Linked DNA regions of Macaca fascicularis. The protein of the gene in region 2 purifies or fractionates together with the protein of the main gene of each other region. This does not show direct contact. Links are inferred from orthologs where the notes say so. Each region holds a gene or a part of one and is shown on either strand. Other genes may lie near its edges.

What was found. Proteins that work in one complex are often made in the same cells at the same time.
Region 1: the proteins of ESR2 (region 2) and SURF6 purify together in Homo sapiens (affinity purification with mass spectrometry; 3 studies listed by BioGRID and IntAct, with this or other methods). This does not show direct contact. The link is inferred for Macaca fascicularis from reciprocal best matches to the Homo sapiens genes ESR2 and SURF6.
Region 3: the proteins of ESR2 (region 2) and SRRM2 purify together in Homo sapiens (affinity purification with mass spectrometry; 3 studies listed by BioGRID and IntAct, with this or other methods). This does not show direct contact. The link is inferred for Macaca fascicularis from reciprocal best matches to the Homo sapiens genes ESR2 and SRRM2.
Region 4: the proteins of ESR2 (region 2) and PRMT5 purify together in Homo sapiens (affinity purification with mass spectrometry; 3 studies listed by BioGRID and IntAct, with this or other methods). This does not show direct contact. The link is inferred for Macaca fascicularis from reciprocal best matches to the Homo sapiens genes ESR2 and PRMT5.

What each region holds. Positions count from the first base shown.
Region 1 is NC_088389.1:6,044,416-6,047,422, reverse strand, and holds the end of SURF6 (surfeit locus protein 6), read right to left. Parts: intron 2,247-3,007; coding exon 2,034-2,246; intron 1,835-2,033; coding exon 1,355-1,834; 3' UTR 509-1,354; downstream 1-508. UniProt on the Homo sapiens protein: Binds to both DNA and RNA in vitro, with a stronger binding capacity for RNA. May represent a nucleolar constitutive protein involved in ribosomal biosynthesis or assembly.
Region 2 is NC_088381.1:132,120,483-132,124,001, forward strand, and holds part of ESR2 (estrogen receptor beta), read right to left. Parts: intron 665-3,519; 5' UTR 575-664; coding exon 213-574; intron 1-212.
Region 3 is NC_088394.1:3,609,243-3,612,761, forward strand, and holds part of SRRM2 (serine/arginine repetitive matrix protein 2), read right to left. Parts: intron 3,485-3,519; coding exon 3,452-3,484; intron 3,269-3,451; coding exon 3,218-3,268; intron 3,052-3,217; coding exon 2,959-3,051; intron 2,874-2,958; coding exon of another isoform or gene 2,831-2,873; exon of another isoform or gene 2,611-2,830; intron 2,317-2,610; coding exon 2,118-2,316; intron 1,071-2,117; coding exon 1-1,070. UniProt on the Homo sapiens protein: Required for pre-mRNA splicing as component of the spliceosome. As a component of the minor spliceosome, involved in the splicing of U12-type introns in pre-mRNAs.
Region 4 is NC_088381.1:90,670,529-90,673,685, reverse strand, and holds part of PRMT5 (protein arginine N-methyltransferase 5), read left to right. Parts: intron 1-75; coding exon 76-239; intron 240-1,289; coding exon 1,290-1,451; intron 1,452-1,619; coding exon 1,620-1,697; intron 1,698-1,787; coding exon 1,788-1,846; intron 1,847-1,932; coding exon 1,933-2,055; intron 2,056-2,141; coding exon 2,142-2,317; intron 2,318-3,151; coding exon 3,152-3,157. UniProt on the Homo sapiens protein: Arginine methyltransferase that can both catalyze the formation of omega-N monomethylarginine (MMA) and symmetrical dimethylarginine (sDMA), with a preference for the formation of MMA.

The sequences.
Region 1 (3,007 bases), on a different chromosome or scaffold from region 2:
ACCATCCTGGCTAGCACAGTGAAACCCTGTCTCTACTAAAAATACAAAAAATTAGCAGGGCGTGGTAGCGGGCGCCTATAGTCCCAGCTACTCGGGAGGCTGAGGCAGGAGAAACGCTTAAACCTGGTAGACAGAAGTTGCAGTGAGCCGAGATCGTGCCACTGCACTCCAGCCTGGGGGACAGAGCGAGACTCTGTCTAAAAAAAAAAAAAAAAAAAAATTAGCTCAAAATTTTTTTAACGACATTGGGACGTGGTCAGGTAACGACACTGATTCCTTCAAATATCTTACGACTTCTTTTCTAGACAAAGTAGGTGGTCAATTTCCATCCATGTTCCAATTACGCTTGGAAAGACTGTATTCTTTCCAGATACTGTTGTCTGTCTCCTAGCTCAAGCTCATACCCATCTCACATCGGATCTTTCACGGGGCTTTTTCATCAGTGGACACTATTAAAAGTCACACCAGCTCCCTTTCGGTTACAATCTTCGTCTCGTTAACTGGAGAGTTTCATCAAAAGAATTTTATTTACAGCGTTATCATCCACGTGTCACTAAAATTCACCTGAGTTTTATTCAACCTGTATTCATTTTGATTGCCTGGAGCTTTGGATTTAATTCTTCCATTCCATTTTGTATCCTCCATTCACTTCACTCTCTCCAGCTTTTACTCTTTCTCTTTCCCTTGGGCCAATGCACTTGACCCAACTCACACCTGTGGACTCTGGGAAGGTACTGCTCCCTCCCTCCCTCTGAATTCGAAGGTGAAATGCCGCCCCGAGGCAGAGGAACAGAAAGGAATGAGACCCCAACAGGCAGAAGCCAAGAGAAGGGGGAGGAGACGCAGCGTTCTGCCCCAGGACGCACCATGCCTGGACGTGCTCCCACCACTCCCGAGTGCCAGGTGCCCACACGCCACACCTCAGGGTTGTCCTCTGTTCCAGTCAGCTGCAGACTAACGGGGCTCGGCAGCGGAGGCCACCCTCTTCTGTCCTGTGGCTCCTGCGAACACAGGCCGGGGGAAGGGGCAGTGACTGCCCACCCCCACCGTTCCTCCTCCCTGACCCTGCAAACCTCGGGGAAGCTTTCAGGCCCGGGAAAGAAGACTGGGCCCCAGTGTGGCTCGCCCTTTCCCCGGGTCTGAAGGCCCCGGACCCTGTTTTCAAGGATGACGCAGAAACATTCTCTTTCACACACGTGATCTGAGCCCTCACAACTCAGCAGAGCATGACAGTGTCCCCCTCACACGCAGAGGCCGCGGTCTGTGGAGATCCTGGGACAGAGCCAGCATCAAGGACTCAGAGGGTCCCCTGGAGCCTCCCAGGACAGAGACGGCAGCCCCAGGTGGGAAAGACTCAGACCAGGCCTGCGCGCTCCAGGTCCTGCGGCAGGATGCGGCCCTTCTTGCGGGCCCTGAGCAGGCGGCGCTCGGCGCGGGCCGCCTTCTTCCTGCGCAGGTTCTGCCGACGCCGGTCCTGGCGCTGCTGCATCTTCTCCACCACGCCGGCCGTGCGTTTCTCCCACCGGCGCTGCCGCTGCGCCCTCCGCTTCTCCTTACGCCTCAGGGCCTCCTGCAGCAGGCGCTCGTCATCGCGGATCTTCACGCCCTCCGCCTTGTACAGGAGGTTGGTCCACTTCATCTTGGCCTCCAGCTCCTGCGCCTTCCCCTCATCCCGGTCGCGCAGCTCGTCCAGCCGGCTCTGCCGTGCCTGCAGGCGCTCCAGCAGCTGCCGGTAGTTCCTCCCGGTCAGCGGCGTCAGGTTCCCCTTCACCCTCTGCCTCTTCTCCTTTCTGCGCTGAGCCTTGCTGGCCGGCTCATCTTCGCTCACCTCCACCTGGGAAGAAGGTATGACATGAGCTCATGCCAGCCCCACACGAGGCCCCAGTCTTGGCCGGCACCCTAAGGGAACTGCGCTGTCCCCGTCACCACCTTACAGACGCGAAGGGGCCCGGAGGGAGGTCATGAAGCTAACAAGGAGCAACGCTGAGGCCTGAAGCCGACCCAGCCCGCCCGAGGACCCAGCTCCCACTCACCTTATTGAAGATCAGCCCCGGCGGCTCCCACGGCTCCGTGCAAGCACCCTCTGGGGCTGGCTCCACCGCCTCCTGGGCCTCCGCGGCCTCCTCAGCCTTCCTGGCCTTCTCTTTCGCCCGCAGCTCCTTTCGCTTCCTCTTCTTCCGGTCCCGTTCCTGCTTTCTCCTCCGCTTTTTCTCCAGAGCGGCAGGGGACAGCTCCTTGGCACTGCCCTGGGGGACAGGCGCCCACTCATTAAAGTTCTCTTGACACCACGGTACCCCAGCCTGGCCCATGGTTGAGAAGAATCAGGGCTGGAAGGCAGGTGAGGAAATCCTCACGCAGAACAAGGGGCCCACGGAGTTCAATGTTCCACAACAGAGGATGTTCCTCGAAAATGCAAATGACCCCAAAAGGGAGAAGGGACCCCCAAATAAGAATCACGGCTTCCAATTCCCAGGTGCTTACCCCGTGCCAGGATACGTTACAAACATGGTTCCACATGTCATACATTGTTTCATAGATGAGGGTCAACACCACTGCCTAGAACTTGGAGTTGGGGTCTGAACACCTGTCCTGACTGCTGCCTATTCTGTTCACGAGGTACCCAAACTAAGCTCTCCCCAGTGGCCTTTCCCATTCCCGGGCCAACAAGAGTCCTACACCAGCCCAAATGAGGCCTGTGCTTCAGCAACAAGGGCCCGGAGCCTTGATCGCCTCTTAGGAACTATACACTGTACCTTGGGATGGCGAAGGAGAGTAGCTGGGGACTGTCCCCCACACAGCATGAGGCCTTAAGGAAGGGCCCCAGGGCAAGGGTGGGTAGGGGCCAACACAGAGGAGACAGCACCATTCAGCACAAAGAGCTGCACTGGCGCTTCTTGTGCCTAGCCACTCAGCTCAGGTCCCTGCTCAACTCACAGGACTATCACGACATTCGGAGAAACAGACACAGGAGGTGCCTATCCCAGTGTCAGTTCAGCAAAGGCAGCTT
Region 2 (3,519 bases):
AATGGCGTGAAATCGGGAGGTGGAGCTTGCAGTGAGCCAAGATGGTGCCACTGCACTCCAGCCTGGGCGACAGAGCGAGACTCCGTCTCAAAAAAATAAAAATTAAAATTAAAATAAAGACCTTGTCTAACATATTATTTCCTTCTCACTAAACCATAAAGTGATTTGAGAAATGGCTAGGAACTATAATTCAGAATGAAGACTGGACTTACCTGTTTACAGGTAAGGTGTGTTCTAGTGATCTTGCTTCACACCAGGGACTCTTTTGAGGTTCTGCATATAGATGTGATAACTGGCGATGGACTGCTAAAGGAGAAAGGTGTCCAGGTGTTGGCCACAACACATTTGGGCTTGCGGTCTGCCGACCAGGCCCACCTTCCAAGTTAGTGACATTGCTGGGACTGCTGTAATTCATCACAGCAGGGCTATAGAATGTCATGGCTGGATATTCATGGTGGCTCTCTACATAGGAGGAAGGTATGTATATAGAGCCGTGCTCCAGGGGTAAGATGGATTGACTGCAGTTGTAGGAGGAAGGAGAATTAAGGCTAGATGGTGAATTTTTTATATCCATGTCTTGAGATAACAGCTGAGAAAACACCTTGCAAGAAGAGGCACAAAGGTCATTATAATGTTCTCAAAGATTCGTGGGCAAGTATAATGGCTGTAAAGAAACACAGAGGATATTGCCAAGTTAGTTAGAGCTACAGGTGTAACTACAAAAATTTAAATATTTTCATTAAAAAAATACACACATTTGTATGAGATTACAAATACATCCTGAAAATATATATATGAAAATATTAACCTCAGAGGAGTGGGAATGTGAGGCATGAAACTCACATTTTCTGCTTCATTCATCTCTTCATTGTTTGTTTGTTTAATCAACAGTTTAAGCACAAGAGTTTAATGATGAAAATTTATTATAAAATAGTCTTTAAAACTAGAAAACACAGGATTAAATAAAAATGAAAGTTGTTATGGAAAAATAAGCAAGAATAACCAAGTAAACCCTAAAAGAGAAGATCAATGAGCAAGGCTAGTCTCAACCAATATTAAAATACACTGAGGCCAAGTGAGTGAGTTACGCCTGTAATCCCAACACTTTGGGAGCCTGAGGTGGGTGGATCACTTGAGGTCAGGAGTTCGAGACCAGCCTGGGCAACATGGTGAAACCTCATCTCTACAAAAATTAGCCAGGCATGGTGGCATGTGCCTGTTGTCCCAGCTACTCAAGAGCCTGAGGCAGGAGGATTGCTTAAACCCAGGAGGCAGAGTTTGTAGTGAGGAGAGATCATGCCACCGCACTCCAGCCTGGGTGATAGAGTAAGACCATATCTCAAAAAAAATAAAAAAGAAAACATGTTATGAATCTTCAATAATGAAAGACAACAGGTATTAGCAGAAGAGACTGACCAGTGTAACTGTGTCACTTATCAATCTGTTGCCTCTAGGTTTTGTTTTGCTTTTGTCTTTTTTTTGTTTTTGAGACAGGATCTCACTCTGTCACCCAGGCTGGAGTGCAGTGGCGTGATCTCAGCTCACTGCAACCTCCTGCCTCCCAGGTTCAAGCGATTCTCCTGCCTCAGCCTCTCAAGTAGCTGTACTACGGGTGTGTACCACCATGACTGGCTAATGTGTTGTATTTTTTAGTAGAGATGGGGTTTCATCATGTTGGCCAGGCTGGTCTCGAACTCCTGATCTCAAGTGATCCACCTGCCTCGGTCTCCCAAAGTGCTGGGATTACAGGCGTAAGCCACCACACCTGGCCTACCTCTCAGTTTTGAATGTGCCCTTCAATTTTTGCTCTACAGTAAACAACATAATTTTTGCATGTAAAGTGAGCACAAAGCTGGGGGTACTGGCTCATTACAGGCAAATCTTTTTTTTTTTTTTTTTTGAGACAGAGTTTCGCTCTTGTTACCTAGGCTGGAATGCAATGGCGCCATATCAGCTCACTGCAACCTCTGCCTTCCAGGTTCAAGCAATTATCATGCCTCAGCCTCCTGAGTAGCTGGGATTACACGCAAATGCCACCACACTAATTTTTGTGTTTTTAGTAGAGACAGGGTTTCACCATGTCGGCCAGGCTGGTTTCGAACTTCTCGCCTCAAGTGATCTGACTGTTTTGGCCTCCCAAAGTGCTGGGATTACAGGTGTGAGCCACTGTGCCTGGCCACAGTAATAGACAATATAATATCTGAGGTATAATTCATCACTTTCTTTCCCAAAACCACTCATTCCCTATTTGTGTTAATAGAAAAAGCCTATTATAGTTACCTTTGACTTCTCCCCTTGACTCAGTTAACTTTAATCACCAAGGCACGTTGGTTTTTTTTCCCAATGCCTTTTTTCCTCTGTCTGTCTTTTGCTGCCATCTTGAAGTAAGCTCTCATTACTTTTTTTTTGCTTTTTTTTTTTTTTTTGAGATGGAGTCTCACACTGTCACCCAGCCTGGAGTGCAGTGGCGCGATCTTGGCTCACTACAACTTCCACCTCCCAGGTTCAAGCGATTCTCCTATCTCAGCCTCCCAAGTAGTTGGGATTACAGATGCCTATCACCAAACCCGGCTAATTTTTTGTATTTTTAGTAGAGGCGGCATTTCACCATGTTGGCCAGGCTGGTCTCGAACTCCTGACCTTATGATTTGCCCACCTCAGCCTCCCAAAGTACTGGGATTACAGGTGTAAGTCACCGTGCCTGGCCCAAAGTTTTTGTGTGTGTGTGTATTAAAATACAGGTAACATAAAATTTACCATCCTAGCCATTTCTAAGTATAAAGTTCAGTAGTGTTAAGTATATTCACATTGTTGTGCAACCAATCTCTAGAACTCATTTCATCTTGCAAAACTAAAAGCCTCTATCTGTTAAACAAATTCCCCACTCCTCCCCTCCCCCAGCCCCTGGCAACCACCAGCCTACATTCTGTCTCTATGGATGTGATGACTCTGGGTACCCAGCAGTGGTGAAACCAACTATCAGACCACACCAACAAACGACAAACGCCAGGATGCACCTAGCCAATCAATCAGGTGCATGGCAACTTTGCTTAGAAAATATAGATCTCACATCTCAACATATCACCAATCAACTTGTGTAGAATTTCCACATACCCCCAAAGGGATGATAATTACAGTCAGAGAACTGACTTCTGGAGAGTCATTAAAAGGCTAGGTGCTTTTTGTTTGGATATATTTCAGATATACCAGATTCATGTGATTCACAGATTCACTCTTTGTCAGTGGCATCTTGAATAGATAGGAACTTGGTAGCCAAGGCAAAGATTTTTTCTTCCTAAGCAGAGCCATAATAAGGGGAAGGAATGATGAACTTACACCATTGTAATAGTTCTCTGAGACAGGACAACAGGTAGTAAAAAAAATTAAAAAGGGGGGGGTCTCTTCTCTACCAGAGGTCTATAAAAATAAATCAACAAACCCATTCTGGTTGAGAAGCCCTCCTCTAAAACAGAGATATAAACTGGTCAAAGGAAAGACTCCCCAAAAGATTTAATTTAA
Region 3 (3,519 bases), on a different chromosome or scaffold from region 2:
CTTCCTCGTCTTGGTGTCCTAGATCGAGACCTCCCTCTCCTGGCTGGTGTTCTGGAGCGTGAGCGACCACTGCGTCTAGCTGGGGTTCTAGAGCGTGAGCGGCCACGTCTGGCTGGGGTTCTGGAGCGTGAGCGGCCACGTCTAGCTGGGGTTCTGGAGCGTGACCTGCCACTTCTCCTGGCTGGTGATCTACTACGAGACCTCCGTCGTACTGGCGATCGGGTCCTAGATCTGCGCCTAGCAGGTGTTCTAGACCGAGACCTGCCCCTCCGGGCTGGTGTTCTAGACCGAGACCTACGCCTGGTAGGTGTTCTGGATCGTGATCTCCGCCTGGCAGGTGTTCTAGAGCGTGACCTGCCCCGCCGGGCTGGTGTTCTAGAACGAGATCTGCCCCGAGTGGCTGGGGATCTAGAGTGGGACCTCCCTCGCCTTGCTGACCTAGACCTGCCTCTTCTCTGGGTATTTCTGCTCCTAGACCAGCCTGGTCGCTGAGGAGACCTAGAGCGGCCACGTCGCTGGGGGCTTCTAGATCTTCCCCACCTCTGTGCAGACCTGGACCTACGCCACTGGGGAGATCGGGATCGAGAATGACCTCTCTTTGTAGGGGTTCGAGACCGAGATCGCCCTCTCTTAGCGGTGGCAGGGCTACGGGACCTCCCCGTCCTACGGGAAGGGGTATGAGAATGTGATTTATCCCGTTTTGCTCGGCCATGTGAGCGATTCTTGGATGTGGGAGAAGAAGAAATCTCTCGGTGGGACCCCGGAGCTGGAGCAGGTTTAGGACTTTCTGGGGAAGAGCTGGCATGCCGAGAAACTTTGGTAGGTTGAGGGGATGGTGGGCTGCTCTCTGAGGAAGAAGACTGGGGAAGTTTCTCAGGAGACTTAGGTGGTGAACGGCCCCGAGTGGGAGAGGCCTCAGATGGGGGGTTCACTGGCTCTTGGCTTAAGGGGGTTGTTGCAAGTGGTTGTGGGGAGCCGCCATGTCGCTCAGCAAGGAGCGGAGTGGGAGCAGGTGGTTCTGGGCCTGTGCTGCTCCTTTCCGGAGAGGGGCTAGGTCGAGCTGCAGATTTCTAAGAGTGAAAGAGAGAGTAGGGATAGGGATTCATAAACGCCAAGACTTCACATCACTCCTAAGATCCCAACACCCTTTCCAATAACTTTTCTTTTACACATCCCCTGACCACAAGCAATCACTTTCATTCAATAACAAGGAATTATATAAAGAACAGTGGGGAAAACATATGAAGATATGGATAGTCTGAGAATCTTAAAACTGAAACACTAAACGCAAATAACTAACACACTACTACATTTAACAACAAATACCACTACGAAATGTTATCAAAGCGGAAAAAACTATCTTTAAATGGAAAAATAAGCAGTTTCCTAAAGCGAATGGCAACTTCACCTTTTAAGAATAACTCTATTAAAGGAAAAGAAACAACATGAATAAAGATGTGAGAACATGATTTGTTTGAAGAGTAGAAAAGCAGACCAGGATGGAAAGAGTACAGGAAATGAGAAAAAGACCAAATTATTAAAAGCCTTAAATGTAATTCAAAAGCAATAAGGAAGCAGTTAAGTTTCTGAGGTCAACCAACTTGTAATTTGGAAAGGTAATCCTGGATGACATGGAAAATTGATGACAGAGGCCAAGAATTTACACTGTAATCACTAAAGCAAGAGGAAATGATTAACGCTTAAAATTAGAAAAGAAAACTACTGAAGACTATTCCAGTGTTTCATTCAAACTATTGGTGGCACCCCAATGGATTAAACAGTTTTAGTGAGACACAACGAGCATTTAATGAAAAAAGAAAAGAAAAGAAACACGGCGTACACAGATAAAATACAACTTTTGTTCCAGTTCTGTGTATAAACAAGATACAATATAAAACCTATTAGTATCCAGTGAGATTTGATTCTAAAGGGTTCACAATTCAGTCTAGTAACAACACTACAAGTTCTGCAGATACAGTAAGAAAACTGGGAGATCAATGCAGAAAAAAATAACCGAATTTATTTTAGTAAGTTACTACCTCTCCCTTTCATGTCACAAGTTTATCCTAAATCTATACACTTGCAATCCAATGAACATCACCAACTCAGGAACATACCTCCTTCTTGTCTTTATCTTTGTCTTCATAAGGGCTGCTAGGCTGTTTTGTAGCAGGCTCCGGGCTACTAGGCCGTTGTGTGTTGGTAGTACCTGGTTCACTGAAAGGTGCATCTCCCTCCCCTCGTCGCCCTGAAGCAGGGGAAGGACTTCGCCCAGTCAAGGCAGTTGTATGAGTTTTAGCTGCAGCACTTCGAGACCTGCAGGAGTTAATTGAGGATGGGGGAGAGGAAGGAAATCAGCTCAAAGGGAGAACAGGAAACCCCCTCCCCAACTCCCATCCACCTTTTCCAACTGTACAACCCTCTTCCAAAAAGCCTGCTTAGTCGCATAACTCAAATCATTCACTGAAATGCAAGTACAGTCCACTTTGGTTCTTCTCTTCCCAACACAATCCCAAACAGTGTTCTCCCTCTACCCCTTCACTCACCTCCCCCAAACATCCCGAAACCATCCACCCAGCCCACTCCCTACCCGCTTCATTCACAACTCACCTCTGAGCCCACCTCCTTCAGGAAGCCTTCCCCGATTAAGGAAGCCAGGGTAAGGATTCCTTCCTCCCCCAGACACCACGAACAAACCACCACCCCCCCTATTCTGGCAGTCCATATACATCAGAACGAAACAAAAAATAACAAATAAACAAAAACAAAAAAAAAAAGAGAAGGGGAAATGTATATGTCTGTCCATCCTGTTGCTTTAGCCTGTCAGCTCCTAGAGGGCAGGGACCGTGTCTTCCGAATGGTCTGTGCAGCGCCTAGCACACCGTGGGCGCTCAATAAATATTAAATTAATTAACCCATCATTCCCTCTCCCTCCCTTCCTCCTGGACTACCCCTTACCGACTGCGGGAAGTATCAGAGGAGGAAGCAGAGTCAGCAGAAGTTGAACGGTGGGCCCGGCGGCTCTTGGGGGCTGGTGTTGTACTTCGAGACCTGAAGGAAGACCACCGCCACAGCTCAGGGTACTGCTGTACCTGCCCTGGATTTTCCTCACCTACCCCTCAACCTTTTACCAGTTAGGGACATAACTGACTCAACCCCTTCCCACTAAGGTGGTGTTCACTTACTTTCTAAGCAAATTCCCCACAAATTCACTCACCGCTTTCGCTTTTTGTCCTTAGATTTACGTTTGCTCTTTGGAGTGGGAGACCTGAGAAATAAGGAAAGATTGTTAAAAGTAACTTTTTTAAAAAAGGAAATAAAACCAAAAGTGAAATGTAAAGAGTTAGGGAATGTTAACAGGAGAAAGATCAAGGTATTGAGCTTCACTTCAAGAAAAAGAAATCACCACTCTACATGCCACTGTGCCCCCAATGAGTTAAAGAGCTCTTACCTATGCTTACGCTTCTTGGACTCGGATTCTGACCTGTCGGAAAAAAGAGAAGAAAATACATAAAAAAC
Region 4 (3,157 bases), about 41 Mb from region 2:
ACAGATTTTTCACAAAGGAGCAAGGAAGGGTTTCTTGCCTGGCAGTGGTTGACAGTTTTTCTTTGTCTCATGTAGCTCTTGAAATTGGGGCTGACCTCCCATCTAATCATGTCATTGATCGCTGGCTTGGGGAGCCCATCAAAGCAGCCATTCTCCCCACTAGCATCTTCCTGACCAATAAGAAGGGATTTCCTGTTCTTTCTAAGATGCACCAGAGGCTCATCTTCCGGCTCCTCAAGGTGAGTGGTAGGAGGGTTCTAAAGGTGGTCCAGCTATACATCTTGCCTTATTTACCTGTGTATGATCGTTTTTTCCTGTGAGGCTGACTCTTTTTCTTTGGTTTCTGGGGAGCAATTTCAGTGAAGTTGGGAGTCTTGAGAACAAAAAGATAAATGCCAGTAATAGCCCTAGAAACCTTTCAAAACAAACCAAACCTCATGAGAACTTTGCAGAAGGTTTCATTTAGGAAGTTACAGCAAGGATCCATGAGGCTCTTTGGGTGTTGATGATACTTTTATGGCATAAGAGGGCTTTTCTTTTCTTTTCTTTTTTTTTTTTGAGACAGAGTCTCACTCTGTCACCCATACTGGAGTGCAGCGGTGCAAACTCAGCTCACCAGAACCTCTGCCTCCCAGGCTTAAGCGATTCTCCTGAGTAGCTGGGATTATAGGTGTGCACCACTACTACCCGACTAATTTTTGTATTTTTAGTAGAGACGGGTTTTACCATGTTGGCCAGGCTGGTCTTGAACTCCTGACCTCAAATGATCCACCTGCCTCAGTCTCCCAAAGTATTGGGATTACAGGCGTGGGCCACCACACCCGGCCAAGAGGGCTTTTTACAAGTTTACTGAGGCCTCATGCTGCCTTTGTTGGTATTGGAACAGATACTAGAGAACTGTTGGTCTGGGCCAGGCACAGTGGCTCACGCCTGTAATCCTAGGACTTCGGGAGGCTGAGGCGGATGGATCATCTGAGGTCAGGAGTTTGAGACCAGCCTGGCCAACATGGTGAAACCCCGTCTCTACTAAACATACAAAAATTAGCCAAGCCTGGTGGCACGCACCTGTAGTCCCAGCTACTTGGGAGGCTGAGGCAGAAGAATTGACCCTGGGAGGTGGAGGTTGCAAGTAAGCCAAGATCACGCCATTGCACTCCAGCCTGGGCAACAGAGCGAGACTCCATCTTTAAAAAAAAAAAAAAGGAGAGCTGTTGATCTGGGCCATATTTTACACTGGGCCCCGAATCTTGGTTTGCGGGCTGTATCTGATAGTCTGACTTTTCTTACAGTTGGAGGTGCAGTTCATCATCACAGGCACCAACCACCACTCAGAGAAGGAGTTCTGCTCCTACCTTCAGTACTTGGAATACTTAAGCCAGAACCGTCCTCCACCTAATGCCTATGAACTCTTTGCCAAGGGCTATGAAGACTATCTGCAGTCCCCGCTTCAGGTGGGTCTGGAGTGCACTGAGAGTAGGAAGGTGGGGTGAAAATGTATCTTGAGAATATATGCCTCCAAATGTTACTAAAACTCAGAAAGCAGTGGAAAGTTTTTGATATTTTAGTGCATTGTCCTTTGCCAGAAACTGGCTAACTTTATCCTTTTCCTCATTCATCAGCCACTGATGGACAATCTGGAATCTCAGACATACGAAGTGTTTGAAAAGGACCCTATCAAATACTCTCAGTATCAGCAGGTACTGTGTGGTATGCAGGGTGAGGAAAGCACAGGGCTAGCATGACCTAGGGAGATTGGGATTACAACCATAGGATATTCTCTCCTCCAGGCCATCTATAAATGTCTGCTAGACCGAGTACCAGAAGAGGAGAAGGATACCAATGTCCAGTGAGTGCTTTCCCCTCAATCCCAGGGACTTGCATATCTACATCTGTATATGCCAAGTCTGCTTGACTCTTCCCTTTCTTTGTTAGGGTACTGATGGTGCTGGGAGCAGGACGGGGACCCCTGGTGAACGCTTCCCTGCGGGCAGCCAAGCAGGCTGACCGGCGGATAAAGCTGTATGCTGTGGAGAAAAACCCAAATGCCGTGGTGACGTGAGTAGCAGCCTGCTTGCTAGGAAGTTAGTCCCCATTGCCAAATTTCCTTAACATGTCTCCTCACCTTATTGTCTCTGTTTCAGGCTAGAGAACTGGCAGTTTGAAGAATGGGGAAGCCAAGTGACCGTAGTCTCATCAGACATGAGGGAATGGGTGGCTCCAGAGAAAGCAGACATCATTGTCAGCGAGCTTCTGGGCTCATTTGCTGACAATGAATTGTCGCCTGAGTGCCTGGATGGAGCCCAGCACTTCCTAAAAGGTGCACCCAGGTTGGGGTGTAGGTGGAGGGTGATGATGGATGAGACATCTACCTGGGAGGAGGGTACAGGGTTTAGGGGAAAGTGAGTTGGACCTGGGTCACATCATATGAGTTTGAGAGCTATTGCTCCACTGCCTCTGTGCCCTTAGCAAATGAAGTCGTCTCTTCAAACCTCAGTGTTCATATTTGTAAAATGAAGGGAGTGGGCCAGGTGCTGTGGGAGGCCAAGGTGGGAGGTCAGGAATTCGTGACCAACCTAGGCAACATGGCAAAACCCTGTCTCTACTAAAAATACAAAAATTAGCCAGGCGTGGTGGTGCACGCCTGTAATCCCAGCTACTCGGGAGGCCGAGGCACGAGAATCGTTTGAACCCGGGAGGAGAAGGTTACAGTGAGCCAAGATTGTGCCACTGCACTCCAGCCTGGGCAATAGAGCGAGACTCCGTCTCAAAAAAATAATAATAATGAAATAAAAAATAATGAGGGGAATGGACTCCTTGAGCTGACGTATGTACCCTGAGCTTAGCTTTCATCAGGAACTTTTATGGGACTTTGTGACCCCACAAAAGTTAAGAACTACCAGATTAGACTATCTTGGGTTCTTTCAGTTTTTATCTGTGTGACTCTGTAAATTAACCTAGAAGTGGAATCATCCGTGACAGTAGTTGGAAGGCTGGCTTAATAATGTGACAACATGCATTTGTCTCTTTCTTCCATGCCCATGCCAACGTTGGTTGGTTTTGACATGGGAGGTTTGATCCTTCTGATCCTTCAGTTAGTACAGACACACCATTTCCCTCCCTCTGGAACTAATTTGACTCTCCTGCTGTGCAGATGACG